Notamacropus eugenii: one gene and its partners. The protein of the gene in region 4 purifies or fractionates together with the protein of the main gene of each other region. This does not show direct contact. Links are inferred from orthologs where the notes say so. Each region holds a gene or a part of one and is shown on either strand. Other genes may lie near its edges.

Region 1 (7,607 bases), on a different chromosome or scaffold from region 4:
GCCGAGTTATCAGGCCACTTGTGAATACCTTTCTCCCAGCAGCTATTATTGTTAATAATACTCTGCCAAATGGGTCCAAGCTGTATGTCAATGTGACCTGTCCTGTCTTGTTTGAGGTTGCCCCACTTAAGTTCGATGACTTTTGCTGCTTTTCTTAGAATCGTAGGACATTAGATGAGCCCACATATAAGATTACAATCTATGTTCTATAAAGTTACATGCCTTTTTTGTCCAAGATGACCCTTACATATCATTAAGGTATAATATGTTGCTGAATAAAGATGAGACCACAAAAATAATTACCAGAGAACAGAAATGCAAGATAAATGAAGATACAGCCAGACAGCTTCTACGTGTTCTTAGAAAGTTCAAGTCACCAGGTTCAGTCCAGGTAATGGAATAATGGGGAGATATAATGGTTGATCAAAGAAGTACAGGTGGAATAAAACTGGAGAAGGGAAAATGCTGAATGAGAGAGAAGAGAGGAGAGTGAGAGAAAGGAGAGAGAGGGAGAGGGGAGAGAGGAGAGATGAAAGAGAAGTAGGGAGAGGAAGAAGGGGAAGAAAGAGGAGAGAAGGAAGGAAGAGGGGGGAGAGAGGAAAAGAGGGAGCAAGGGAGGGAGAGAAAGGCAGGGAAAAGAGAGAGATCTGTCAATTATACATGAGGGAGCTTGACTTTGATTATTGAAGAATCCTATAATGCCATTACAAGTGCTGCTCTGTGAGCATTTAGGGAAGATGCAGTTAGCTAGGCTTCATCAAGAACAGATGGTGCCAGACTCATCTTGTCCTGTTTCTGACAAGGCAGCTGAAATGATAAACCAAAGGAATGCCATGAACGTAGTGTTTGCTGCTGCTGCCGAGGCATTTCAGTCACGTCCGACTCTCTGTGACCCCATTTGGGATTTTCTTGGCAAAGATCCTAGAGTGGTTTGCCAGCTCATTTTACAAAAGAGGAAACTGATGCAAACAGGGAAGTGACTTACCCAGGGTCACACAGCGAGTAAGTATCTGAGGTCAAATTTGAACTCAGTTCTTCCTGACTCCAGACTGAGTTTTCTATCTAGTTCATCACCTAGCTGGCACAGTAAACTCAGACTTTAAAGCATGTTAACAAAAGCCTCTTACGGACAAGGCCCCTTGTGGACAAGATGGAGTGGTACAGGCTGCATCAGTGGTGTCAAACTCAAACAGAAATGGAACCCTATAGCCACATACTGAATTGGAAAATCACAAATTGTAGTATCTATATTTTATTTTTATTTATTTTAACATTTTCAATTACATTTAATGTGGTTTGCAGCATTCAAATTGAGTTAGACACCTCTGGATCAGACTAAACATTTTAGGTGATTTATTCAGATTCAGAACCAGTTTAATGACTAGAACCAGAGAGTAGTCCTTAATGAGCTGATATCAATTTAGTTAAGTTTCATATCAAATTGCCTTAATCCTATGTTAGCAGTGACTCTAGACCTGGGCTCAAATTCACCTCAGATGATGACTAACATTCCTGGGCCCCAGTTTCCCCATCTTTAAAAGGAGGAGGTTGACCTAGATGACCTCTAAGATTTCTTCTAAGTCTAGCTCTGCGATTTTACACAGTAAGAGTCAAGGACAGCCTAAGCTGCTTGCAATGGGCACCTATATGTTAAAAATCCTGGTAAGACATAGACAAGATTCATGGGAGTGGACAGATTACACCCTGACTGGAAGGAGGTAATATTCACATACATTTATAGTCTCATCTAAGCAGGAACTATATAATCAATTGGCTGTAGAGAACCACTAAAGGTGTTGTCAGTAAGGCAAGGATGAATTTAAAGTCGTACTTAAGATTTATCAAGCACTATACTTAGAATGGATTAAGAAAAAGTACATACAGCTTAAAGCTGTACTTAGTGAACTTTTATCTGGCAGCATCCTCGGGATGGATGAAGAAGTAGGGGGTAGAGACTTCTCCAACAGTGACAGCCTTGAATTCAGTTTGCTGCTGTGGGTGGCTGTCAGGGGAGAGAAGTGGGGTAAGAAAAAAACATTAGGGAAAAAATTTTTTGTTTTAAAGATTATCGGACTGAAAGTCAGGTCTGTGTTCGTCCCGCAGTCCCGCCACTAATTTACCACGTGAAGGTGGGCAAATCCCTTCCCCTCTCCTCAGCCTGGTTCCTGACTTTTAAAAGGAGATGAGGGTTTTTTCGTCTTTGCTGGCAGTCTGGTGAAGCCTATGGGCCCCTTCTCCGAATATTTTCAGACCTTATAAGAAAATGCTACCTTTCAGCTAGAGGATAGCGACGATAAAGGTGCGTGTGTGTTTGTTTCTGGTCCAAGGTCTCTAAAAGGTCTCAGAAGAGCGGTCCGTGCTGGGGGACGGGCAAGGGCAGGTGCAGAGGCTTTGGACGTGACATCCACCTTGGGGATCGCTCGGACTACGGGGGCCCCCGGGACTGCCGGAGAGGGGAGGGAGCGGTCCAGCCGTGGCACCACGCCCGTCCCCGAAGCGCGGGTTCAAGCCCGGACTGCTGCCTGCCTCCTGCCCATTTTACAGATGAGGGAAGCGAGGCTCGCAGAGGCAAAGGGACTGGCTCGGGCTCCCACAGCTGGCCAACAGCGGGGCTAGACAGGAGGGCCCGGGAGGTCCAGGCCCCCTCCCCACCGGCCGGGGCCGGCCGGCCGTTACCTTCTGGATCTTCCCCAGGAACAGATCCTTGGCGTAGGACTGGCACCGCGGACCGGTGCGCAGGTGCCGCCGCAGGCTGCCCGCCGTCCGCGGCCGCTGGAGGAGGGTGCCCAGGACCCGGCCGGAGCCCACCCCGGCCGCCCGCAGGAGGAGGAAGCCGCCGCAGCTCATGATGCTCCGCGTGCCGGTGCCAAGCTGCCACAGAGGAGCCCCAGGCGCCGGGAAAGGCACGGGCGCCTCCCGATTGCGTCACAAGCGGACGCCTCCAGATGGCGTCACGAGCGGCTACGGGCTCCCGGCAGCCCCGGTCCCTCCCCTCCAGCCTCCCTTCTGTGGTCCGGATTGCGGCTGCGCAGCCTGAAGTGCGGCACGTGGAGCGAAGGCTCCTCCTCCCCACTCCTTCTCCCTATTTATTCCCTACTAAAGCTGGATGATTCGGACCACCGGGTCGCATGTGACGGAGCTGGAGGCGCTGCTCCAGCGTCAATTAAGCGCCTTCTTTGTGTTGGGCCGCATCCACACGGTCCTGGCAGTCCAGGAGTTCCCACCTTAGGGTGCGTGTCAGTGACTGCGTCCTTATGAGGCGCCTATGGTATAAAAGCAGGGCAAGCTGAGCGGGGAAGGCACTCGCAGCTGGGGCCACTCGAGCCGAGTCTGGAGGGAGAGCATTCCAGACGGGGGGCACAGCCAATGCAAAGACACCAGGTCGGGAGATGGAGAATTGTGGATCTCTATTGATTATCTCCAGTTTATCCTGTCTGTATCTCCCTAGATGGGTGGGTTTTTGTGAGTGGTTCCCTCGTTAAATCGTGAGCTCCCGACTGGCAGGGGTGGTCACTCTACCAATGCAGGTCAACACTTTTTTGGGAACTCTTACTCTTAGCCTAGAGCCTGGAGAAGTGAAGTGATATGCTAGTCTCCCAACCACGAAGTGTCATGCTCTTTCTGGCTTTGAGTTAGGCTCCATAGTCACCACACCATGTTGCCTCAACAAGCAATTTAATGTTAAAACTCAAAGCAAACTATTCCTTAACTGCTTTAGCATGCGTTTGTTTCTCTGCCAATTAATAATTTTATAAAGAACACTGAACTAGGAGCTGGAAAGCCTGAATATAAAGGACTGCTCTGCTGAAGACTTCCCCATCACCCCTGGAAAGTGAGTGAGATTCTTTGGAGCAAAGGTGCTACAATGTTTCCAAGTGAGGCCACAACCAGATTACAATGTAACCAGGAAGTATTTAACATGATAAAAATACAGTAGAACAACCATAATATATTATTTTTCTAAGTTAACACAGGTCAGCTGGAATCCTTATGTGATTTAGTGGCCACCTTCTTTGAGTTTGACCCCAGGGTCAGAAGAGGGGAGATCAGAAGCCAGAACAGTTGAAGGGGAGACATGAAGCTAGAATAGTTGTGTTAGAGACAAACTACTACTGCAGGAGAGAGAGATGATTATTTATAACCCTGGGCCTGCTGCCATGACTGTCTCTGTTCTAAAAGAGGGCCAAATGACCATCCTTATATTAATAATGCACTAGTCTTATTAATAAAGTGATTAAATTACCCAGAAACTATGTCTCTTGAACCTTTTAAATCATCACACAGAGGTAGTTTTCAGAGGAAGAAATTAAAGCTATCTATAGCCACATGAAGAAATGCTCTAAATTGCTATTGATTAGAGAGATGCAAATCAAAACAGCTCTGAGGTATCACATCACACCTATCAGATTGGCTAACATGACAAAACAGGAGGATGATAAATGTGGGAGAATTGGAACACTAATTCATTGTTGGTGGAGCTGTGAGCTGATCCACTTTGGAAGTATGCCCAAAGGACTATAAAAAATTTGCATACCCATCGATTGAGCAATACTGCTTCTAGGACTGTATCCCAAAGAGATCGTAAAAATGGGAAAGGGTCCCACGTGTAGAAAAATATTTATAGCAGCTCTCTTTGTGGTGGCCAAAAACTGGAAATCAAGGGGATGCCCATCAATTGGGGAATGGCTGAACAAATTGTGGTATGTGAATGTAATGGAATACTATTGTACTATAAGAAATGATGAACAGGAAGACTTCAGAGAGGACTGGAAGGACTTATATGAACTGATGCTGAGTGAAAGGAGCAGAACCAGAAGAACTTTTTATACAGCAACAACCACAGTGTATGAGGCATTTTTCTGGTAGACTTAGTACTTCATTGCAATATAAGGATTTTAAAAATTCCCAATGGACTCGAGGTGAAATGCCTTCCACCTCCAGAGAAAGAACCGTGGAATTTGATCACAGAATGAAACAGACCATTTTCTTTTGTATTATGTTTTGTTTTGTTTTATGATTTCTTCCATTCATTTTAATTCTTCTATTCAACATGACTAAGGTGAAAATGTATTTAATAGAAATGTATGTATAGAACCTGTATAAAATTGTATGCCATTTCAGGGATGAAGTGGGGAGGGAGGGGAGAAGGAGGGGGAGGGAGGGAAAAAATCTAAGACATAGAACACTGAAAACAAATAAAATAATTTAATTTAAAAAATCATCACACAGGAAGGATAGGATCTGATTCATCTTGGTACCCACCAAATGACTGATCACACACCCCTTAGGGTTGGGCCATGACTTCTCAGAGGCACCAGCCCCCACTTTGGAGATGATTTCTAACCCTGACCCCAGGCATAGAGTCCCTGATTTCCATAACTGAGTCAACTTGGCTCCATGAGTCTGTGGCAGGTACATTCACCAAGTAATAACTAGTGTCTAGAATGAGGAACAAAGGAAGTGGGGATAGGTTATTTAGCACTTCAGATGCCTAATTTTCTGAGCGGCAGCATAGGATAAAATGTTGAATGTGGTGTCGGAAGACCTAGACTTGAATCCTGCCTCAAATAATAATCTTGTGATCCTCAGCAAGCCACTAGGATTCAGTTTCTCATTGGTAAATTGTGATGTACCCACACTACTTATTCCTCAGGATTGTTGTAGGGAAAACACTTTGAAAATGTCACAGTGCTCTATAAATCTGCGTTGTCTATATCTGTAGCTGAAGAGTTTCAATCTCTTCTGAAAAGAGAGAGATAGAATTCCACTTCATCTATTCATTAATTCATCAAATTCAGGTAGGCATTTACAAGAACTGTGCTGAACTTTTATCTACCACAGCCTAGCTTCATACCCCAGAAATAGTTTGTGATGGAAAATCCTGAAGGCTAGTGAATCTCTGACACAGCCTCGCTGAAAATTTCTTATTTTGGAAAATTTTAGCCAAAGAACAGAATCTAATGTCTTCCAAGTATACTCTAGCACACTAGTACATGGAAAGTGAAGGGTATGACCAAGGATCAGAGTGGTACAGCTAATAATTATAATGCCAGAAAGCATTAATGACTAGTCCTGACCATGTGTGAATTGGCAAGTCAAGAAAATTCTGAGTACGTAAAGTAGGCTGTGAGAGATACTTCTTCAGCAGTGGTTTAAAAAAAATCTATATGCTGCAGAATAGCATAAACCAGATGGCTGCCATCTCATATTGCTAGGTAGAGGCTGCCTGATTAGGTAGATTATCTAAATGGATCTTCTGTACTTTTCCATTATCCTTATTAATTAGTGTTAGTCCTTTCATTGGTGCAGAAGACTGAACAATACTGAAAAACAGCATAAAAATTTTCTTTATTGAAAAAATGGTGAATAGTTTTTGATCCCAGCATGAAGTATTTTTCAAAAGAGATTTCAGGGGGCAGAACAAAGATGGTGGAGTGAAGGCAGGGACTTGTTTGAGCTCTCCCTAAACTCCTCCAAATACCTTTAAAAATTAAACAAATTCTAGAACAACAGAACCCACAAAATGATAAAGTGAAACAAATTTCTAGCCCCAGACAACTTGGGAGGTCAGCAGGAAAGGTCTGTTGCACCAGGGTGAGAGAGAAGCACAGTCTGAGCTCCAGCAAATCTGGAGCAGGTCTTGGTTACGAATCACTGGCAGCAGAGGTAGATTCCAGACCTCTCAGCCCATAGATGCCAAAGACAACTTAGAAGGTCAGCAGGAAAGTTCTGTTCCACTTGGATGAGAGTGAAACAGAGTCCAGCCCCAACCTCAGCAAACCAGGAGCAGGCCTTGGGAGTGATTGAATCAGCACTGGAAAATAGAATAAATGAGGGGGGAAGGGGTGATGGAATAGGATGGAGGGAAATACAGTTAGCAATAGTAACTAACTGAAGCAAGTTTCACTGATAAAGGTCTGATTTCTCAAACAAACAAAGAACTGAGTCAAATTTATAAAAATAAGAGCCATTCCCCAAATAATAAGTGATCAAAAGATATGATCAGTTTCCAGATGAAGTAATCAAAGTTATTTATAAGCATATGAAAAAATACTCTAACTCACTATTAATGGGAAATTCAAATAAAAACAGTTCTGAGGTACTCACACCTATTAGATTGACTAATGGTACAGAAAAGGTAAATGACAAATGTTGGAGGGTAAGTGGGAACATGGGACATTAATGCAATGTTGGTGGAGTTGTGAACTGATTCAACCATTCTATAAAGCAATTTGGAATTATTCCCAAAGGGTTATAAAAGCATACATACCCTTTGACCTAGTAATACCATATTAGGTCTGTATCCCAAAAGAGATAAAAAACAATAAGGAAAATGACCTATTGTGTGAAAATATTTATAGCATTCTGGCGACAAAGAACTACAAATTGAGGAGATGCACATCAATTAGGAAATGGCTGAACAAATTGTGGTGTGTGATTATGATAGAATACTATTATACTGTAAGAAATGATGAGCAGGATACTCTCAGAAAAACCTGGAAAGACTTGCATGAGCTGATGCAAAGTGAAATGTACTGGCTACAAAGTAACAGCAGTATTGTAAGACGATCAGCTGTGAATGACTTAACTGTTCTCAGCAGTACAAT
Region 2 (7,728 bases), on a different chromosome or scaffold from region 4:
TAGCTTGCCTATCCTACCTCCATCGGGTGGGGTTTCCTAGGGGGGACCTCATTCCTTTCCTAAAGGAGAGGCAGTAAACTACAGGTGAAAGATAACTGGAACTGGAGTTTAAAAATGAGATTTGCATTCTGGTTGTTATTTATAGATATAACCTTGAATTCTTAGCTCTCAACCTCTCTGGACTTCAGTTCCTTACTTGAATACTTGGTCCTGGGGTTTGTTATCTACAAAAGAGCCTAGCTGGCTCTGAAAAAACTCAAGCCTTCTCCTTCCTCTCCCCAATTTGTAATCCTGAGGCTCCAAAATCTTTCAATAGTATTGTCAAGGGAACTTCCATCTTCCCACTAACTTAAGTTCCCAACTGAAGCATTATCATTGACTCTACTTTCTCTCATATAACATATCCAAACCACTGCCAAATCTAACCAAGGATTCCCAGTACATCTACGGGCTCCTCCTTCTTTCCCACGATAGCCAACATCTGTATTAGGAAAAGGATTTTCTATCTTCAACACAAAGTTTTTTTTATGTTTGCTGAGGACATTTGTGTTCTTTTCCATTTATATTTTCAGATTTCCATTCCTAATTTTTCTCAGTCTCTCTGAGTACGGATGGCCTGAGAAACTGTTAAACATTCAACAGAACTTGCTGAAGGAAATGCTAGCCAGGAATGACACCAAAATTGAACGGCCACGTGAAGATTTATACTAAAGAGTCAGTTTTAGATGGAACTAAAGAAGGCAAGTGAATGGGGCACAACCAGAGGGAACCTGGTGCCTCCTCCTATCCCCCAACCTACTCAGGCCTGAAAAGAGGGAAACAGGATGAAAAACTGGAAGGGGTGATGGTTTTATACACTGTAAAACAATGATGTGGAGGTAGAGGACCTCTGAGAGAAGGCCAAGAGAGCTTAAATGGCTTATCCAAAGTTAGGCAAGTAGGTGATCTCTCTCCCTACCCCATCCCTTCTACCTGTAAAAGGCAGCTTCCTTCCAGCTGCCAAGGGCTGTGCCCTGGAGCAGCTCTGGAAAGGAAGGGGCGACCCACGGAGTGATCCCAGGCTAGGACAGCTCTCCGTACGCAGTTCATCCTGTTGCTGGCCATGGTCAGGAATTAATGGCAACCAGATGCCTACCTAATCCAAGGAAAGGATATGTGGTTAGCTGACCCAGAGAATGGCCTTGGAAACCTCCCTGTACACGTGCACATGCACATGTGTGCGTGTGCACATGCGTGCGTGTGCGTGCATGCATACACAAACACACCCCTCAGAATTATCCTCTTTCCCTCCTCAAATGCTCTTCTCTTCCAATATTTGATACTATTACAATGCCCAGGGTGTGTCCATCCTCTCACTAACCTAGGCTCCCAGCTTTAGAGTACTCCTTGATCCCACTCTCCTCCAACATATCCAATCCATTGCCAAATCTTATCACTTCTATACTTCACAGCCTCTCTCCCGTACATCCCTTTCTCCCCAATTACACAGCATTACATTAGTTCAGGTTCTTACAGTCTTAAGCCTAGACTATTACAATAACTTCCTAACTGGTGTTTGTTCCTAATTCAAGTCTTTCACAAACCCAATCCATCCTCTGTTTGATGGTCAAAGTGATCTTTTTAAAGAGAAGGCTGGACCTGGTCACATCTACATCCTCAACAGATTTCAGTAGCTTCCTATTACCTCCAGGATGAAATATTCAAAATTCTTCATAGGTTGGTGCCTTCCTGCCTTTCTAGTCTACCTCTCTGAGTGAATGTAAATATTAAATAGTAACTGTTTCTCTTTTACCCAGGAACCCTAAGGGTCTTCCCCCACTCTCTTTTTGTTTTTGTTTTGTTTTGTTTGTTATTAGAAAGGCCATCCCTGGAGTAACTACTTGAAGCCTATTCATTGAATGGGTATATCTCACTCAAAGTGAGAATGTGATAAGACCTTAGCCTAAAAGGGCCAGGGTCTCCCATTGCATCCTGGGCCATCTCCAGTCATCCTGATGAACATCAGACCCGGATGTCTCAGGAGAAGAAAGTGAGGCTGGTGACCTTGCACACAAAGTCAACTGCAAGTCATGTCATCTTGATGTCACGGTCCTCTTCCAGAACAAAGGACAAACACAACAACCACCTCTCTGACCCAACTACTTTGTACTCCTTACTGTTTCTCAATGAGGGTATTCTGGCTGCCTCCCAAACCTGGAATGCTGTTTTTCCTCACTCCAGCCTCTTAATTTCCCTGGCTTCCTTCAAGCTTCAGCTGAAAGCCCTCTTCTACACAAAGTCTTTCCCCTCTGAGATTCCCTCCCATGTACTCAGTAATGAGCTTCGGGTTGGCGCCCCCGCCATGCTCCATAACAGCAGAGGCTGTTTTTGCTTTTCTCGGCGTCCCCGTGGGCGTGCAGGGCCTAGCACACAACAAGCACTTCATACACGCTTGATGCCCGCCCGACACACCTCCACAACGCCGGGGCTAGCACAGAGCGGCTGGGGGACAGCTTCGAGCCTGCGCCGGCTGGGGCACGGGGTTCACGGGCTCAGCCTCCCCCGCCCCTCCCCCCACTCGCACCGCGCGCTTCCTGCCTAGCCTGGGGCCTGGGTTTGGGACGGGGCTTTGGAGGGCCACACATCCACATCCACATGCACACGACACAATACGCACGTATACTCACGCGTGGGCACTTTTCCTTCGCACACTTACACACACAAACACACGCCGCCCCACTCCTCCCTTTCCCAAACGAGATCCAAGGGGAAAAGGTCACCATGTCCGCAGACCTGTGGCAAAGCGCGCTCGGAGGCCGGGCCGGGATCCGGAGGCCGGCGTCCGGGCCGGTTCTCGAGCTACGCGACGGCGATTCCCAGCCACAGCGCTTCTCAGCAGTCTCCGGCTCTACTAGACGGTATGGCTGGGAGCAGCCATGTTGGTCTTCAGAGCTTCCGGGTCACAGGTCACGGGGCGCCCGGCAGAGAGCGACCGGATTTCTCAGAGGAAAAAAAAAAAAAAAAAAAAAAATCTTTCAAGATCAGGAGCCAATGGGAAGACGTCATTTAGATAGTCCCGCCCACCATTTTTGAAAACCCCGCCCCAGGTCCGCCTACCCAGGTCTAAGCAAGAAGGCCGTTTCCGGCGCAGGCTGCACTTGGAGGGGCTTCCACCGCGTGCGCATCTCTTGGCTTCTGCGCTCCTCGCGTCAGGCCCATTAGGCCTCAGTTTGCTCATCTGCGAAATGGGTAGAAATTGAGGCGGCTGCGTGGTGATAAGTGAGCATGAGCCCAGCGTCTTTCCGGTCCGTGGCTGCCAGGACTGATAGGGACCCAGCCCCGGTGCAGCCCTGATGGACAGACAGATCCGGGGAGAAACACTGGATGGAGGGTTTCCGCATTTCTCCGGGGCTCTCCGAGCCCCGCCCTCGGCCAGTTTACAGCTGAATCCCCGAGGCGTCCAAAGGAGTTGATATGTTTGGTAGGATGTAGAACCCCAAGTCACCTTAGACTCCAGTTGTGCGCCCTCTTTTTTTAGGGATAGGAGACAGCAGTAATCACAGATGTTGATGACAAAGAGGTCGTTTTTTTCCCCACCCAAACAACGACCTTATGAGCAAGTGCTACAGACATTATCCCTATTTTTCGGTTGTCCTTTCCATCCCTACATCTTCTTTTATATATGCTGTCTCCTTCCTCCTAGTTCAGGCTCCCATCTCCTCTACCCTGGAGGATCACAATAACTTTCCCTTTTTATTTCTCTACTTCAATCCTGGATTCCCTTCAATCCACACACACACACACACACAGACACACACACACCATTCAATAAACTCCAGTGGTTTTATGTTACCTCTGGGATCATTTTGGGTATTTCACAAAATTTCAGAATCTGAGAGTTGGAAGAGAAGTCAATGACCATCTAATCCAATTTATGTAATCCTTACATACCTTTCTAGTGGTCATCCATTCTCTGCTTGAAGACTGCCAGGGATAAGGAAAACACCACCTCTGTGGTACCCATTACTCTTTTATATAATCTTAATCATTAGAAAGTTTTCCTGACATCTAGTCTAAATTATCTTCTTTGTAACTTGCTTCTGGTTCTGTCCTCTGAGGATAAACCACACTAGTCCAATCTCTCCTCTGCATCCATCCTTTAAATACTGCTTGAACACAGAGAGTCAAGGATCGGAAGATGGTGCTGTCTTCAACAGTCATAGGGAAGTTAGGAGCAAGGGAGAGTTTAAGGTGAAAAATGATGAGTTTAGTTTTGGACTTTTGAGGCCCCCCAAACGATGAATTAATCACCGAATGGAGTACACTAAGTATAAAGGAATTTTCCTAAACCTTTATGAAAATGTGTGTGGACAAGCCTTTTTTATCATTTCGAAAGGATCCTGGGGCTTTGGCCATTTGATGAAAGGCAAATGATGCCGCACAGGAAACAGTATAGGCTTGCCTGAAATGATCAAATGTGCCTCTAGACCTACATACAAAATAGCAAACTACTTCCAAATTTCATAGACCTACTGCAAGCCAATAAGGGGGTAGAAAAGCCCTTGAGAACAAAGAACAAAGTAGATAATAGAACAAAGTAGAAAAGAGAACAAAATTGAAAAGTGTCTCTCTCTTTTTCCCACTTTCAGGCTACCAGGATCAGGGAGAGTTTGAGGTCCTATCAAAAGTTTCACCAGCACAGTACAAAAGAGCTGGATACACAGTTAAGTACAGGAGTCACAAGGTTACCTACTTTTAGGCTTGAGGTGGAGATACCTAGGCAGAGATGGTATAAGCAATACATGTTCTGGTACACCTGTAGACTGAAAGCTGATGCTTTTCCTTCCCTTGGCACCTGAGCAGAACTGGAGGAGAGAGTACCCACAACAATGGAGAAGTGGCCAGACCCAGCAGAAAAGTAACCTCAAGTGTCAGAGGCTTACCCAACAGCAAACTGGCTCAGCCTAGTAGCAGCTTGACCTTTCCAGAAGAGCCCTGCAAAAAGCCAGTCGTGTTGGTAAACTCAACCATCACTCAGACCATCCCCTGCTATGAATTTCATGATGGATCCATGAAGGGAGAAAGAACTTCTAGTAACCAGGTGCCTCACCACCACTGTGCTCTTAAGTTTGAGCTCACTTTCCCAAGGACCTTGTGTGTGCAAAGGGAGGGTGTGCCCTATTAGTCCATCTGAGGAAAATATTTTACCAACTGTTTTTACTATACCTTTTTAGTAAATATTCTTGCTAAATGTAATTGAGGATACTGGCTAAAAATAACCATGAAGCACACTGGTGGGGGCTCAGGATCAACTGTGTTAGAAACCCTAGGGCTTCTGATTCCCCCAGAACCTTTTGAGGCGTAGCACTAGCAGCTACCTTCTGAAGGACCAGACTTGTCAATTCAAGTGGGAGTTAGGCAAGTGGTCCCAGAGGAAGTGTTACATTTCAGAAATCACTAATAGAGGCTCAGCCATCACATGTGACAGTTCTTTCAGGACCCAGACATGTAGTTCATCTGGATCATCAGGTAACTTGAATTCACCAAGGGGAATTAAGGACTCTCTTTTGGCTTATTTGGGGGTATGAGCGCCTTACTAGCTATATTTGTTCTTCTGTATTGGGTGCAAAGGTTCTTCTTGGCAGAGAAAAGAGAAACACAATAATCTAAATATTGTAAACAGGTCCCTTCCAGCCTTTCCAGTCTTATTTTACATTACTTTACTCCGCTCTCTCTCTGAGACCATATTGGCCTACTTGATGTTCCTCCCACATAACCTCCATCTCCCATCTCCATATCTTTGTACTGGCTGTTTTACTCATGCCTAGAGTGCTCTCCCTTTTCACTTTTATGTCTTGGAATTCCTAGTTTCCTTCAAGATTCAACCATCATCTACATGAAGCTTTTCCTGGGCCCCCCAATTCTTAGTGCCTTCCTTTCACAAATTACCTTAGGTATATTGTATACTATATGTATGTATGTATGTATGTATATGCATGTATACATATGTTCATAGCTGTGTACCTACACACATGTTGAATCCCCTGTTAGAATGTAAGCTCTTTGCAGGCAGGCATTGATTCACTTTTGTCTTTGTATCGCCAGCACAGTGCCTGGCACATAGTAAGCATTCAATAAATGTCTGTTGAATGATTAATTCTGGAAACTGAAATTCAGTGGCAAAGGTGAGGCTTGAACCAGGATGGGAGTCAACAGTGGGGGGAGTTCTTACGCTCCTAGCCTAATACTCTTTCCACTTCACTTTCCTCCTCATCCCACAACCTTTGAGGGCCTCAAATCCTTTCAGCCTCTCAGATCCAAGGCTCAGCTTCCCCAATACTCCAGATGCCCCAGGCTAAAAAAGGATAGGAAGGGCCAGGCAGCTGGCAATGTCTGCCCCAGAAGCCTCTTGGGACCCTGAGGCTATTCCAGTTGGGCCAGCATCTTCAAGAAGAGTAGTCATGGGTACCCGGCAGGGAGCCAGAATTCCTGAGAGGGGGACGCCAAGGTCAGCACTGGGAGCTCCCTGGAGAGTCAAGGGTATCCCTGCTCCAGATGGTGAGAGGTGTGTCCTCCGATTTGGATTGGCTGGTATGGCGGCAGGGCAGGGCTCCCGGGTAATGCTTCTGCAGTCCCAGCTTTTGAATCCTGACGTGCTGGATGACCCTTCTGGTCCATCCCGCCCACAGCAGTGAGTCATCTGTTCCCGGAACCTATGCGGCCTCCCCTCCTCCCAACACCCCACCACTTACTTCATCTGTCTTCCCAACCCAATGCCCATCGGCTCAGGTTGTCCTGGCTCCTTCAATCTACACACCTAAAAATGCACCACTGGTACCCGCAGTCTTCCAACCACCAGCACCCCTCTCTCTGAAGCAGGGAGTTGTCTCCCAACATTTTCTAACATACCTCCATCCTAAGTTCCCACAGCCCCTCGTTCCAGATTCTCCTAATCCTAAATCTTCACACACCCTCCACCTTCAGGATTTCCCAGGAATTCTTAATTCCTCATTTTAGGAGTTCCAGTGTCCCAAGAACTCCTTAGTCCACCTCCAATCTTAGACAGGCTCTCCAGTCCTGACATCCCAGGGCTCTCCACTCCAATCCACCAGAGCTCAGATTCAAAGTGATATCAGCTTCTTCTTCTACCTTCCTCCACTCTTCTGCCTGGAGTCCCCTTTGATCCTCCCTGAAAACAGGTGCACACCAAGCACTGTAGATGGGTAGACCCAGATCCTGGCTCTTCCTCTAAATGAGCAGGGTTGAGATTATATTTCAGAAAAATGCTACAGGCTGCTTGCACCCTGAAGGTATCAGAACCTGGAAGGATCTCCTACTTCATTTTCCCCACTGTTAATAAAGAGAGAACTAATAGCCAGGACAGGAAAGAGAGGTACCTGAACCACAGCACCTACATCAGGGGTGAATCGTCAGGAATAGAAACATCTTCACCTTAGAGCTGGAAGATCTGTGATCCTGGTAGTCATGTCCCCATTACTTTCTTTGAAGCCCCTAAGGTGGGACTGCCTCACAGGGATGTAGTCCTGGGTATCTAGGGAAGGAGTGGGGAGCCCTTCTAATAGTCAGCATTTATTGGGAAGAAAGAAGAAGGGCTGGAGATCCTCAGCAATCCTATGGAGGATGGACTGGCCCAAATTTGTCCTCTGCTTTGCCAGGACATTGATGGGATAAGGTCCTAGATATAAGATGTTTTTGTGTCTGTATGTGCACCGATATGAAGGTATGTTG
Region 3 (7,917 bases), on a different chromosome or scaffold from region 4:
AACTTCAGCACCATCCCTGAACCCCCACTCTCATCCCATGTGGCCAATCATCTGCCAAACCTTGTCATTTCTTTCTCCATAAGAACTCTCTGAGTTCGTCTCTCTCTCTCTCTCTCTCTCTCTCTCCTCATATAGCTACCATGATGGTTCAAGTCTTCCATCATCTCTCACTTATTACTGCAATAACAACCTCCTAAGTGGTCTCCTTCCCAAGTCTCTCTGCATTCCAATCCCTCCTCCACACAGCTGCCAAAATGATTTTCCTCAAGTTCAGATATGACCAGGACAGACAACTGTCCTAACACAACACACACACATACACACACACACACACACACACACACACACACACACACACACACACTCTCTCTCACACAAAATCAATCTCTCTTTCTCTCTCCACTCTGTCTCTTTCTCCCTTTCTCCCTCTCCCTCTTCTTCCCATCCCCCCAGTGGCTCTCTATTACCTCTAGGATTGAACATAAACTTTTCCATCAAACATTTAAAACTTTTCAGTCAGAATCTACCTTACACTTCTTAAACATTAAACACACTTGATGGTCCAGTCAAATTGGCCTAAAGATCACAACACCAGATTTGGCAATTAGACCACTTCAGAGAGATGTTTGGAGTCAAGAAGGACAGGAGCAGCAGAGGAAATAGAGGTATCTGGTTTAGATGGCCTAAGAACTTTAACTGAGAAGAGGAAGAGAAATACAGGATCATAGCTAACTGGTGTGGTAGAGTCTAGTGGAGGATTTCTAAAGATGGAGGAGACCTAAGAAAAAGGGTGAAGACCAAACAGAGGAGGCTGACAAATGAGAAGGCAATTAGCTGGAGGGCAAAGATGGGAACAAGGGCACAGGTAGAGGTTAAGACTTGGGGAAAGGAGCCATCTCATTATCAGAGATTAGAGAAAAGGAAAAGAGAATAGGGGATGATGTGAAGGGGCTTTAAGAAGAGAAGGGAAGGAGGAAACTCAAGTAAATGGCCTCAATTTTCTAAGTAAAGAAGTAAAGTTGTCATCTTAGAGAGGAGGAGAGGAAGGTCTGGGAGGCCTGAGCTATCTGCTATAGCTCCAATGAGGATGGTGAGAGGAAATCAATTAGTAAGAAATAAAAAGGATTGCCTTACTACAGTGAGGACTCAGCTGAGGTTAGGTAACACATATGTAGTCCCCCCATTCAGTGCACTTGCATGATTCCTCTAGCTTCAACCAGCAGCATGTAAGAGAAATGGAGGTAAATGATGAGAGGAATACAGGTCAGGAGGTTGGTATGGAATAAGCAATGAAAAGACAAGGGGCCCAAAGATTGAGGTGAGGAGGGCATGAACGAGAATGGTGGCTACGACTGGAAATAAGAGGAACAGGGCTGCTAGGTGGTGCCAGAGTACACAAAGCACTGATGAGGAATCAGGAAGACTCACACACTTACTAGCTGTGTGACTCTGGGCAAGCCACTGTTCATCTCAGTTCCTCATCTGTAAAATGAGCCAGAGAAGGAGATGGCAAACCATCCCCAGTCTCTTTGCCAAGAAAATGCCAAATGGGGTCACAAAGAGCCGGACGTGACTGAAACAACCCAACAACAAAGCAAAAGAACACTCAGAGAAATATGGGAGAGAATAAAGACTCGGCAAATAATGGGGCAAGGAAAAATCAAATGAGGACTCCAAGGTGGAAACCATGGGTAACTAGGGAAGGAATGAATTTTGTTTCAGACATGCTGATTGGGAGAATCTTACAGGTCTTCCAGCTTGAACCGTCTAATAAAGCTGGTAATAGAAAGCAGGTCTAGGTAGATATCTGGGAGTCCTCTGCATGCAAAGTCAAATTTACCTCCTTAGGTTAGGATCTCCATTTCCCAGTGCTTGGGTCAGATGTCTATCTAATGTTTTTTCTAATGAATTACTGTTCTTTTCTGCCATTATGAACAACCATAGCTATTATACAGCGCTTTAAGGTTTTCAAACCACTTTCCACATAGTCTCATTTTATTCTCACAGCCACAGATGAGGAAATTAGAACGAGAGGTTAAGGTGCTTGCTTAGGGTTCACACAGCCAGGTGTCTGAAGTAAGATCTGCACTCAGATTCACTTTCTGATTGCAAGTCCCCTGCCTGCAGGCACCCCCCTCCCATGTCTGGTACTCATCTTCCTATACTGCACTACTACTAGCTATATTTCCAATAGTAGTAGCTAGTTAGCTAGGCAGATACACGTGCAGTTATCTCCAAACGACTGGTAGATACAGTGAAAGGAGAAATCCACTGCAGGATTGCAGAGATCAGGTAATCCCTTACAGTGACAGTCTTACACGAGTGGCAGTGCCCTACAACGTATAAAAAATAAAATGGAGAGACAGGAGAAGAGTATATATAGCGTACTCTCTCAGCCTCACCAGGTGTTTAAGCAAATGACCTCTGCAGGTTTAAAGTCTGGGCTCGGACCCCAGAACGGTCGCTGATCTCTTTCTCATTTCTGCTGGCAAGACTCTAGGCAAGAGAAGACGCTGACCAGCTGTCCCCGTCTGAGAAGCTCCGTCTCTAGCCCCAAGCCCATCACCCCGCGCTGGGAAACCTGGGACTCCTCGGCCTCTGGGTTCTAGGGGCGCTCCTGACTCTGACACCGTGTTCTAAGCTCTCTGGGGCTTCTGAAGAATGGGGAGGAACGAGGGGCTCCGGTCCGGGCAACCTCGGGGCGCCGGGGGTGCCCTGCCCCCTCCCCACGCTTGGGGCCCTCCAGCTAAGCCGCTAAGGGTAAGAGCGGGGCCCCGCCTCCTCCACGAACCACTGACCCGAGATTCCCCGACGGGGCAGGTTCCGCTTGTAATCGATGGGACCGTAGCCCCCTGGCGGGGGCATGTCCTGCTTCACCTTGGACGCCGCCATCTTGCCAGCCCAAGGCACTTCCGACGGCGAGGACCCGCGCCGGACGGAAGAAGCCGGAAATGACGTCAAGGGGCGCGAGCCCGCTCCGCCATCTAGAGAGTGGCGGAAGCTACTGCAGAGAAGGTCTTAAAGGGGCGGGCGCTCCACGTCGGAGAGGGGAGGGTGGAGCCAAGGAACGCCCCCTCCGGCACCCACTGGCGCACCCGCCCAGTAATGGTAGTACCGTCTGACGTTGAAGCAGCTTTTTAAAGTTTGCAAAGCACTTCTGGAGGCAGCTCCGTTAACGGCGTTAGGGTTTTAAGGGGTGCCCCTAGGAGTTAGCGCAGCAGGGATCCAGTCCCAAACCGGCCCCACCGCTGACCTTGACCCCCCCCCGGCCAGTTTGAGCTCCCCATAGTTTACTCCTTAATAAAACAAGGGGCTGGGCTAGCCAGCTCTGAAGGCCCAGCACCTCCTGGCCCATGGCCGCCAAGGGGGGGTGCCGCCTCAGCGTTACCCTGCCTGGGGATGCCGGTCCCCAACATCCCTCGGAGGACCCAGCCTCACGTCCAACCAGGCTACGGGTCTGGGCGTCTTGCCATCCCTTACCACGGCAGCATCTCCATCTCCATCACGTCACAAAACGGGCCCCGGCGTGCAGAGCCAGGACACATGCGGCAGCCTCCCTGCGGCCCGTGACGCCCTCAGTCACTTCACAAGGCGGAAATTGTTACCTGGGCGATAAAGGGCGGCGGGGAACCCCGGGGCAGGAGTGGGCACATGGGGGTCAAGGTCTGTGGGTGCCAAGCGCCATGGGTTAAGCCCCAAATCGAAATTCGGAAAACCCTCCCGACGCTCTCGCCCCGTCCATCATGTCTGGAGACAAACTCTTGAATGAGCTGGGATACAAGCTGGGCCGCACCATCGGGGAGGGGAGCTACTCCAAGGTCAAAGTGGCCACCTCCAAGAAGTACAAGGGCACGGTGGCCATCAAGGTGGTGGACCGACGGCGAGCCCCCCCGGACTTCGTCAACAAGTTTCTGCCCCGGGAGCTGTCCATCCTGCGCGGCATCCGCCACCCGCACATCGTGCACGTCTTCGAGTTCATCGAAGTGTGCAACGGAAAACTGTACATCGTCATGGAGGCCGCCGGCACCGACCTGCTGCAGGTGGTGCAGCGCAGCGGGCACATCCCGTGCGCCCAGGCGCGCGAGCTTTTCGGCCAGATCGTGGGCGCCGTGCGCTACCTGCATGACCACCACCTGGTGCACCGCGACCTCAAATGCGAGAACGTGCTGCTGAGCCCGGACGAGCGGCGCATCAAGCTCACCGACTTCGGCTTCGGACGCCAGGCGCACGGCTACCCGGACCTCAGCACCACCTACTGCGGCTCGGCCGCCTACGCGTCTCCCGAGGTGCTCCTGGGCATTCCCTACGACCCCAAGAAGTACGACGTGTGGAGCCTGGGCGTCGTACTCTACGTCATGGTCACCGGCTGCATGCCCTTCGACGACTCGGACATCGCGGGCCTGCCCCGCCGCCAGAAGCGCGGCGTCCTCTACCCCGACGGCCTGGAGCTGGCCGAGCGCTGCAAGGCGCTCATCGCCGAGCTGCTGCAGTTCAGCCCGTCCGCGCGACCCTCCGCCGGGCAGGTGGCCCGCAACAGCTGGCTGCGCGGCGAGGCTTGCTAGCGCCCACCCTCGTGGGGCCCCCGATCTCCTCCTTCTCCTCCCTTCTCCCCGGGCTCACTGACCCTCCCCCTCGATCTCGCGCAGGGGAGAGGCACGAGGGCGCCCGGCGCCCAGGGGAGAGGAGCGGGAAGCTCTCCTGACCTCATCCCCTCCATTCCTTTCCTCCTTTCTCTCCCGCCCCCCCCCGCCCCCCCAGTCTACGGGTGTGAGACGGGAGACCGCCCCTCCCCCCCACGGCACCCGGCGGTGGGGGGGGATGGGGGGGCGGGCGAGGGGTGGGTATAGAAAAGGGGCATGACCAAGATGCTAGGGACAGAGCGAGAAAAAAAGAGGGTCCAGCCGCGCAGAAAGCCCGGAGCGAATGAAAGTGCCAACACTCCGCCGGGCAGGAGGGAGATGCCGAAGCCCGCAGAGCCCCTACTCGAAGGTGGAGCGCAGTCCGGAGACCTCGAGGCGTCCCACCGTTGGCCGAGACCTGCGCTGGCCCTCCCTCCACCCCGCTGGACCCGACAATAAACTCGCTCTCTTGCTAGCAACCCCGGATTCTGGTAGCTGGACGACTAGGAGGAGGGGGGCTAAGGGGGGAAAGGGGGTGTAGGGGGGAGGCGCAGGCAGGGCAGGGGCAGAAGCGACTTTTGCCGCCCCACACCCTTCCTTGTCTGCCTGCCTGTCGGCCCAACTCCATCCTCTCCTCTAGCCTGGGAGGAAAGGGTGTATAGGCGGGGTGGTGGAGCGAGTAATTTGAAGGATTTAGCCCTTGGACAGCCAACGTAGGCCCCTTTCGTACACTTAAAACTTTTTAGACTCCCCGCCGTCATCACTGTGCCCTCTTTACAAGTCCTGCTGGGATCGGGGAGCAGACTGGGGGTAAAAAAGGAATGGAAACTTACTAGCCGGTGGGGGGAGGGGAATGAAAGGGAAGGGTGGGGCGGAGTGACCTCAGCTGGGGTTCTGTTCCCCAGGGCCCTTCCTGCCCCTCCTCCCGGGAGACCCGGAGCTCAGGAAGCCAGCTGTGAGATGGCCAGCATCTTAAGAACTGGATGTCTAACAGCAGGGCAGGGCACTGGAAAAAAAGATGTTTGCCCTAGTTCTGGAGGCAGAGACAGCAGGGGAAGAAGCTAATAGCCCTGGTTGAACTTGGCTTAAAAGCCCTAAGCCAGGTAACCACCTTTACCTGTTTACTACCCACACTTGAGGTGAGCCACCAAGCTTAGCAAGGCCTTAGGTAGCCCATCCATATGGCAGGCTAGACCCTGCTTAAACTAGCGTTTACCAACTTGCTGGGCTGGAAGGCCAGGCTCAGGGCTTTGAGGCGGCATGAGGTTTAGGGAGATCACCCAGGGCCTGTTTCCTTAAATAAGAAATGTCAGGGTTGGACTAGATCATCTCTAAACCTCCCTCGGAGCTCTAATGCCTATGATAAGCAAAGGGTGCACGAAAAAGCCTTTGTACTGTATCTCTTTGGGTCACTTCCAGGACTGCCAACCTAGCTCAGGGTCTCCTAGATCTAGGGGAGAGCCCTAGAAATCTTCTGCACTATCTAGAAAAGAGCAGGAAAAAAGTGAGGGGTTCCCACGGAAACCAGCAATTCCCTTTTGCCCAAACACCACTAGATATTTATGGGACACCTACTGCGTCTTAACACAAGGCATTAGGAAAACAAAATGGTATGAGATCTGCTCCCTGTCCCCAGTGACTCAATCGCTAAATATGTGTGTACTTGGCAGGGTTCTAGGTGTTGGGATTACCAGAAGTGACAGCCCTTGCCCTCTGAGAGTTCAAATTTTGTGGGCATGCTTTAGTCTAAAAGCCCTCAACCTACAGAGCTTTACTTCCCATGTTTGAAACCTCCAGCCAAGCTTAGCAAAGCCTTATAGCCCATCCCTACAGAGGGCTAGACCTAGACCACAAAGGCTAGGGTTTCCCCACTAGGCAACTGATAAATAAAGGCAGAATATATGCAAAATAATGACACAATGATGAGTACAAACAGTTTGTAAGAACTAGGAAAGTCATCCCATAGGAGAGAGCAGTAAAGTTGAACCTGGAAAGTCTTCTGGAGGGGCAAGAGGCAGAGAAGTAAGGAGAAAGAACTCTCCAAGTGCAAGGATGCAGGAGATGAAATCTGTGATCCATAGATCCATCTGACACCAGATTACGAAGGATTTTTCATGCCAGAGGGAGCACTTAGGCTTCTTGACTTCTTGAGGATATGAAATTGCCAAGACTTGGCAACTGATAAGATGCAGAGAGATGAGAAAGGGTGAGTCAAGTTTGACTCCTAGCTTTCACCCCTAAAGGTTTAGAAGAATGGTGGTGATCTGAGCAAAAACAGAAGTGAGGAAGGAGGAGGAGGAGGTTTAGGGGGAAAGATGCTGGTCTTGCATGTGTTGAGTATGGGGCATACAAGGAGAGATAACTAACAGGTTGTGAGGCAAACTGGAGTTCAGGAGAGCCATGAGGGTTGGATGTGTAGACCTGGGAGTCATCTGCATAGAACTGACAGTCGAAACCTAGGAACTGATGAGAGAATGTGTATAGAGAAAAGAGCAGGCCCAGCAAGTGGAGTTTGTCTTTGAATTAGGGGGCCAGGCATAATGTGCAATAACAACGCCAGTACATATTCTGTTCCCTTCTTTGCAACCCTAGCTCTGGTAGGTAATGCAGTTGTCATGAGCTCCATTTTACAGATCGGGAAAACAAGGCCACAGAAGTTTCCATAGTAAAACACACACAAAAAAAATGGCAGCTCACATTTTCTGGCACTTTGCAGTTTATAAAGCACCTACATCATAACCACCTATTTGATAGAAATAGCACTGAATTTGAGGTCAAAATGTTTCCATTTTTACTTGAGAGACTGTATGACACAGCACAGAATTTGGACTGAGGAAGACCCTGGGTTCATATAGTCCCTCAGATGCTTACTAACTGCATGACCCTCAGCAAGTCACTCTCTGTGACTCGGTTTCCTGATCTGTAAAATGAGAAGTTTGGATCTAATAGCCTCTAAATTATTTCCAATTTCTAAATGTATGGTTTTCCAAGTCTCTGAAATCTCTGAGTCTACCTGTGTGACCTTGAGCAAACCCTTTCACATTTCCTCATTTTTAAAAACATTAAAGGATATGGGTCTATATGGCCTTTTAAGATTCCTTCCAACTTTAAATTTCTTATCCTATATCTAAGGTTCCTTTCCTACTTTAAAATTCTAAGGGAATTAATTGCTCAGGTTCACACAGAGCTAGGGTGGTGTTAGAAATCTAGGCTTCTGATTCTAAGACCAACAAGTGCTCTGGGGCCCTTTGACCATTACCTTTCTCCACTGACATAATGAGGTTGAAAGGATGCCTAT
Region 4 (7,233 bases):
ACAATTCTGATGTATCACCTCATATCTATTAGATTGGCTAATAGGACAGAAAAGGAGAATGACAAATTTTGGAGGGGAGGTGAGAAAAATGAGACATTAATGTACTGTTGGTCGAGTTGTGAACTGATTCAACCATTATTTAGAGGAATTTGGAACTATCCCTGAAGGGCTATAAAACCGTGAATACCCTTATAAACCCTATAAACCGTGAAGAGTGCCACTATTAGGTCTGCATCCAAAAAGAGATTAAAAAAGGGAGCCAGGAGAGAAGATCTATATGTACAGAAATATTTAGAGTAGCTCTCTTCTGGTGGCAGGGAATTAGAAGGATGCCCATCAGTTGGGAAATGGCTGAACAAACTATGCTATGTGATTGTGATGGAATACTATTGTTCTATAAGAAATAGTGAGTAGGATGCTTTCAGAAATACCTGGAAAGACTGACATGAGCTGATGCAAAGTGAAAAATACTGTATACAAAGTAACAGCAATATTGTAAGATGATCAGTTGTGAATAACTTAGCTATTCTCAGCAATACAATGATCCAAAACAAATCTATGATGAAAAATGCTATCCATCCCCAAACAAAGAACTGATGGTGTCTGAATACAGATTGAAGTGTACTTTGTCACTTTATTTTTCTGGAAGTTTTGTGTTGTTTTCTTTCACAAGAATATGAATGTGGATATGTTTTGCATGACTACACATGTATAATATATAGAATTGCTTGCCTTCTCAATTGAGGGGGATAGGGAGAGAAGAAGAGAGAAAATCTGGAACTCAAAATTTTAAAAATGATGTTAAAAACTGTTTCTACATGTAATTGGGGAAAAAATAAAATACTAAATAATTTTTAAAAAAGAAGTGATATGCCCAATTCATATGGACAATCAAAGACTAGTAGAATCTGAGCTGGAAATTCTCAGACACCAACTGGCCCACCCTTTGTGCTCTACAACATTCCCAAGTGGTCACCCAACCTATGCTGGAAGGTCTCCTCTACTATCTCTAATCTCCGCACACCTCTACCCTCTGGGACTCCTTATTCACAAAGTGATAGTCTTCATCCTTCATCCCAAGAGTCAAGATATGAATTTAGATCTTTTGATTGCAAATTCAGTGTTCTTGTAACTATTACTACTACTATTAAGAGTTAAGACATTGGGTTTGAAGTTTAGCTGGGCTACTAATTAACATGACATATAATTTTCCTAGGCCTCCTCACTCTTTTAGATAAAATAAAGGAATTATTGCTTTTCATAATTCTCCCAACTTCAAAATCCCATGTTTCTATAAGTCACAGATGATCAACCAAAATTCTGACAAAAATGAGTGGTAAGAACAATAAATCCCTGCTTTACTATTTATCACCTCTGTGTGGGAATTTGAACAGATGAATTAATTTTTGGGGGTTTCTTTTTTATCATTTGATAATGTGGGGGTTGAACTAGATTATCTCTAGGATCTCTTCTAGTTCCTATAATGTATGAGCCTGTGAAACTTTTCTAGTTTCCTGGGCCATACAATGTTAGGTAAATGTATTGAAAGAATTGTGATTCAAAGTCTTTTATTCTTAACAAAGCTATTAAGTATTCCTGGAAGTTACCACTTGAAAACTTAGACAGGCTTGTCAAACAATTACTGACCTGCAAGGTCTGTATATCTTATAATGAAATCACAGGGGGCAAATATGAAAAACAAAAACAAGCAACCAGTCAAGAAAAGTTCAGTAAGTGGTAGGTGGGAATGAGAAACAGACTAGAATCTCAGAGTTCTACTTAAGGCCATGTTAGGCTGCACTGAGGCTAAAACCCTATTCTGCAACGTCTCCAATGAACAATTATTATTAATAACCACTGAGAATTAATCGTTATATTTACTCTCTGACAATAAGCTCCTTGAGGCGGTCCCATCCTGACTCTGGGTAAAACGGACCCTTAATGTGAGGAGGTAGAGTCTTCTCAGGAGAGCAGCTCGAGTCCGTTGCAATGGTGCTTTCCTCAGCAAGGACCCTTGGGAAAGGCACCAGAGCCTCCCATACTCTTCTCAAACAGGTCTTCTGCGGTCTCTCCATCCCAGTTCTTGCAACTATGAAAACACAGCCAAGTGACAAAAGTTAGTGCCATGGAGATCTTGGCGGTAGGCATAAGAAAAAGAAGGGGCAAAAATAAAAAGGTAGGAAGGGAGTGATGGGGAGAGGGAGAAAGAAGAAAGGGAGAAAGAAAGAAAACAGAGGAGAGAAAGAAGAAGAAAGAGAGAAACAAGGAGAAAGAGAGGAAGAAATGGAGACAGAGAGAAAAATGGGTTGAGAGAATAAAACAAAAAAGGGAAGAATGAAAGAAACAGAATGAAAGCATAAGGGGCAGAAGGGGCGAGAGGAAGGAAAGAAGAAAAAAGGTAAAAAGGAACAAGAAAAAGAGGGCCAGTGAAACAGAAAGAAGGGAAAGAGGGAGAAGGAAAGGAGGGAGATAAACAGAAAGAAAGAAAAAAGAAAAGAAAGGGAGAAAAAGACCAAAACCCCAACAAGGAAACATGGGCTAGAAATAAAAAAAACCTAGTTTGTGACTTCCCCACGTACATGGGCCTGTGCTGGATACACACACGACTTTTATACACACACGTTGTCTTTTACACGCGCACGCACGCGCACGCACGCACCCCTGTCTGTCTTTGCCTCTGTCCCAGAGCCGGCCCTTACCTTCCAGCCCTCCCCACCTCTGGGGCACCAGCCTCGGGACAAGGGTACCTGAGAAGCGCCGGACTAGGGCTGTCCGGATGCCCGAGCTTCCAGGTCCGACTCATACAGTTACTAACTGTGCGGCCCTGGCCAACTCACTTAACGCCTCTAAACTTCTTTCTCCATCACTTTAAAAAAAAAAAAAAGACACAAAACTTGAGAGGGGACCGGACAGATGACCTCCAAGATCCTTTCCGACTCTAGCTATCCCTCCCTTACCGGCTTCTCGGGTCTTACCCGGAAGCTCTTCCCACCAGCAGACAGGAAGTCCCGCCCATGACCCGGGGTGCGCTGGAGGCGCAGAGGTGCGGCTGCGCACGACGCCGTTGCCTAGCGATCGAAAGGGCTGGTGCGCTTTTTCTGGCGCGTTCCGCCGCAGCCCTACCCTTGGGGAATTTGTGTGTGAGCCAGCCACCCTTTATCTTACGGATGAGGAAACTGAGGAAGGGGTTACCCTGCCGGTGCAGATCTGATGAGAAGGAAGCTGGGGGCAAAGCTCGTTCCCTCTTCCTAGATCAGATAGAGCATTTATTAAGCGACCACTGTGTGCCCAGAGCTTGTGGAGGGGGAGGGGCAGCGCCCTTGGCTCCCCAGGAGCCCTCTCCTTGTGTGCTCAGTTTTATTAGCATGGGACTGGCCGTAACCCTGCACGTTTGCCAGTTTTTGGATTTGATTTTCCCTTCCCTTCTTTTTTAATCAGGTGAACTAAAGATTTATCAATTTTATTAGTCTTTTCAAAGAACCCTCTTTTGATTTTTTTAATTCTTTCTTTGATTTCTTTCCAGCTTATCTATTTCTCCTCTCATTTTAATATCTCCTCTTTTATATTTATCTTAGATTTCTTTGCTTTTCATTTTTGTTAAATACACACGCACTTCATTAATCCTTTCCTTTTCTGCTTTGATTCTGTGTAAGAGTATGATTTTCCCGTGGAGGACTGAATTAGCTGCATCTAAAAGTTGGTAACATTGTTTCGTCTTTGTCATTTTCTTTTGCATAGTTTTTATTTGTTCCTATGATTTGTGCTTGGATTCACTTATTATTTAGTGTTTCATTATTAAGTTTCTATTTGGGTTGTTATCTTTTGTTTGTGGTCCTTGAACTAGTTACTATTTTTGTTGCATTATCTTCTATACAGGATTAACTGCCTTTGCTTTTTAATATTTATTTGCAATATTTCTGTGCCCTACTTTATGGTCAGTTTTTGTAAAAGTGACATGTGGTATTTTCTTTTGCTGTCCCATTTAGAAAATTTCACAAATTTTCCTCTAGCTACTCCAGGAATTTGTTTCATTTCCATATTTTTCCTTCTGCTTATCTATTAAACTTAATCCAGAACTGAGAAAGAGATATTGGAGTTTCTTGTGACTATTGTGTTACTGTCTGTCTCTTCTTGTAGCTCAGATGATGTCTCCTATGTGAATTCGGGCGCTAAGGCATATTACTGATATTGGTTTGTTGTCCACAGTTTTTTTCAGCGTAGTATAGTTTCCTTCTTTATTCTTTTATTTTTTGAATGTTTATTTTTGCGCTGTCAGATAGCATAATTGCAACTCCTGCTTTTTTGGATTCAGTTGGTACATAGTAAATTTTTTTCCCATCCCCTCAGTTTTATTTTGCATATACTTTTGATTTTTAAATGTGTCTCTTGTAAGATTGTAGAGGATTTAGATTATTTAATCATTCTTATTTCATTAGAGTTCATATTATGACAGCTGGGTTTATATTTGTCACTATTTGTATTTCATATTGGGTTTTTATCATTTTTCCCACTTCTGTGGGAAGCAGAACTATGTTTCTTCAGTTATTTTAACTTAATTTTTTTAAGATGGCCCTATTCCCACTAGCTGGCTTTTCACCCCTGATCCCCTTCTCTCTTGTAACCCTTTCCCTTTAGGGTTTTGCTTTATTAGTTTCTTTTTTCTTCTTGATTTGTTTCTAATTGTTCTCCTCTTTTTCTCCTTAGGCAAGTAGATTCCCCCTTTTCATATTCAACTAGTCTTGTTCATTAATTTCATTTTTGCACTTCTTGGCAAAGAGAATTTCTTTCTCTTCTTTATTCATTCTCTTTGACTGCACTAGACCCTTATTCTCAGGTTCACAGTCCCTATAATTATCCGGTTACTCTCTATTCTCAGTATTTTTCATGTAATCTAAACTTCAAAGCTATTCATTTTTAGCTCTTTTCTCTTGGCAATTTCTTCACTACCCTTTAGAGCTTGTCCAGTGGATTCCCCTTTTCCATTGTGTCTCACTCCTAGGACGGTGCTAATTCTTGAAGGTGTCAGAGAGGATGTGGCCCCATGTTAGCTCCTTCCCCATCCCTGATTATGTAGTTCATCACTGATCTTTACTCTCCCCCATTACCTGAGTTTTTTTCCCATTTATCTAAAAATCTCCTCTCTGGGGCCGTGCTGTCCTGCTCCCCCAGGTGCCAGTTGTCCCCATGAGTTACCTCTTCCCCCCTTCCCAAGGCAGGACAGATGGTCTTTTAAAGCACCAAATCCCCCCAAATGACACCCAGCACAAGATCCCTATCTCCTATCACAGAACTACTTTCCTCACCCATAGAAGCATCATCAGTGGAACCCCCTCCCACCACAAAAGCAAGGAGTCTTTTCAATCTTTTCAATCCTTTCCTCTCCTCACCCATTCCCCTGTAGGCTTCTCTTCCTGAGAGACCACAAGAGTCATCTCCTCATTGCTAGCCCTTTATTTGACTCAGGCATAGCACACCTTCCCCTCTATATCCTTGATCCTCTCCCTCCCTTTCCATTTTTTAATGAAGTCCCACAGTGTACATTGATTCACCTGTAGACAGTTGTCTGATTCTGACCATAACACCCCAGGCCTGCCTCTCTATTGTTACCTCCACCTGACTTCTTTCTTCACCTGTGTCTCCTTGTTTATGTTCAGGAAGAAGAGTTTCTGGTCTTGCTTGCATCACTATGTTGCTCCTGCTGTTGCTGTACCTATCACTGACTACCGAATTTATTCAGCCCTGCTACATTTCTGTTGTCTGGAACGTTCAAGAAGCAAATAACCTCTTTAGTTCTGGTTTTCTAAGAATGATTCAAATGCCTCTTTATTATTGCATGTCCATCTGTTTTCATTTATGAAAATTTTCAGGGTAGGTCACCCTGAACTGCATCCTGAACTCCAATGCTCTTTGGAACACATTTCTCCATTCCCTCTTATATTTTATGGTTGTTGCAGAATGGTCTTGTGTTACTTGAATTTCTTTTCTTTCATATTTTGAAGGTCTTTCTCCTGACTGTATGCAGAACTTATTTCTAAATTGAATTGTTGAATTTAACTAGTAGTGTCTTCGAGTTTGCAACCTTGGTTTTGTTTTTTGTTTTTTTCTGGAGATGATCTATGATTTCTTTCATAGATCTTCATTTTCTTTGTTCAGAAGTTCTGGGCCAAGAGTGGGGAACTTGCAGCCTTGAGGCCATGTGGCCTTCTCGGTCCTCAAGTGCGGCCCTTTGAATCCATCACAGAATATGAAGGACTCGAGGACCTAGAGAGCCACATGTAGCCTCATGGCTACAAATTCCCCACTCTTGGCAGTTTACAAGGCAGTTTTCTTCTGGGACACCTGTGGGTCTTTAGGCTATCTCTGTGCATCTTATTTTTGAGATCAATATATTTTCCCTAGATAGTGACCATATTTTCCTTTAGTGTTATTGTTTTTTTGCTTTTCTTCTTCTAAATTGTCCATCACTTCTATGTATTTGCATTCTCAATTATTGTTTTGTTTCTTTGATGAGACTTGCCATTTCAGATTCCAGTTTTTCCATTGTGCCCATTATTTTTGCTCTACAAACCTTAAATTCTGCTCTCATAATTTTCATTTCTCCTTTGAACCACTCAGAAACAGCAAGTTGTGATTCAGTGTTCTCTTTACATTCCACAGGTTCTCTGTCTCAAGTGCTGTATCATTTTCCTTTGTTTTATAGAATTTATTCACAGATGTCTGAACTTGTTTACTAGAGGCCACATTTCCTTTTGTTGTTTTCCCCTTTGCTTATCTTCTTCAGTTCAAAGTCTGAGTTTTCTTCTTGGTGAGATCTTTGGTAATTTATCTTTTATTTCACCTTAACTTTCCCGTTGCTCCCTTTTGACTTCTTCCCCTCTGATGGCTGTTTCCTTGGGGGCTAGGTCCCAGAGTGTCAGCTTCTTCTTAGACATTGGACAATTTCTGGTTCATCAGTCTAGGTCTCCACCTATATTGTGATTTCAAAAGGGATTCGGATTCGTCCCATTATGTATGATTAAGGAAATTTATGGTTCAGATTCGCACCTACAATAAGATGCATTTGAGAAGAAGAAGCTGGATATTTTATTGATTTACAGAAAAGGCAAATGTATGAACAGTTTAGAGCTATAGCATAAATAATTAATATAGCCTAATACTAATATAATTATAGCAATATTAATATAGATATGAGGAAATAGAAAAACATCACCAGTTCGGGGAGCACCAACACCT

What was found.
Region 1: the proteins of TIMMDC1 (region 4) and ACAD9 purify together in Homo sapiens (affinity purification with mass spectrometry; 3 studies listed by BioGRID and IntAct, counting the BioPlex papers as one, with this or other methods). This does not show direct contact. The link is inferred for Notamacropus eugenii from reciprocal best matches to the Homo sapiens genes TIMMDC1 and ACAD9.
Region 2: the proteins of TIMMDC1 (region 4) and ECSIT purify together in Homo sapiens (affinity purification with mass spectrometry; 3 studies listed by BioGRID and IntAct, counting the BioPlex papers as one, with this or other methods). This does not show direct contact. The link is inferred for Notamacropus eugenii from reciprocal best matches to the Homo sapiens genes TIMMDC1 and ECSIT.
Region 3: the proteins of TIMMDC1 (region 4) and NDUFA13 purify together in Homo sapiens (co-immunoprecipitation; 3 studies listed by BioGRID and IntAct, with this or other methods). This does not show direct contact. The link is inferred for Notamacropus eugenii from reciprocal best matches to the Homo sapiens genes TIMMDC1 and NDUFA13.

What each region holds. Positions count from the first base shown.
Region 1 is NC_092874.1:425,041,761-425,049,367, reverse strand, and holds the start of ACAD9 (complex I assembly factor ACAD9, mitochondrial), read right to left. Parts: upstream 3,011-7,607; 5' UTR 2,848-3,010; coding exon 2,677-2,847; intron 1-2,676. UniProt on the Homo sapiens protein: As part of the MCIA complex, primarily participates in the assembly of the mitochondrial complex I and therefore plays a role in oxidative phosphorylation.
Region 2 is NC_092875.1:78,404,859-78,412,586, reverse strand, and holds the start of ECSIT (evolutionarily conserved signaling intermediate in Toll pathway, mitochondrial), read right to left. Parts: upstream 3,011-7,728; 5' UTR 2,773-3,010; intron 1,136-2,772; 5' UTR 1,105-1,135; coding exon 973-1,104; intron 1-972.
Region 3 is NC_092875.1:55,807,269-55,815,185, reverse strand, and holds the start of NDUFA13 (NADH dehydrogenase [ubiquinone] 1 alpha subcomplex subunit 13), read right to left. Parts: upstream 3,011-7,917; 5' UTR 2,893-3,010; coding exon 2,799-2,892; intron 1-2,798. Other genes in the region: TSSK6 (testis-specific serine/threonine-protein kinase 6), read left to right, coding at 3,744-4,562. UniProt on the Homo sapiens protein: Accessory subunit of the mitochondrial membrane respiratory chain NADH dehydrogenase (Complex I), that is believed not to be involved in catalysis. Complex I functions in the transfer of electrons from NADH to the respiratory chain.
Region 4 is NC_092876.1:346,696,166-346,703,398, forward strand, and holds the start of TIMMDC1 (complex I assembly factor TIMMDC1, mitochondrial), read right to left. Parts: upstream 3,001-7,233; 5' UTR 2,700-3,000; exon of another isoform or gene 2,580-2,699; intron 2,090-2,579; 5' UTR 2,076-2,089; coding exon 1,882-2,075; intron 1-1,881.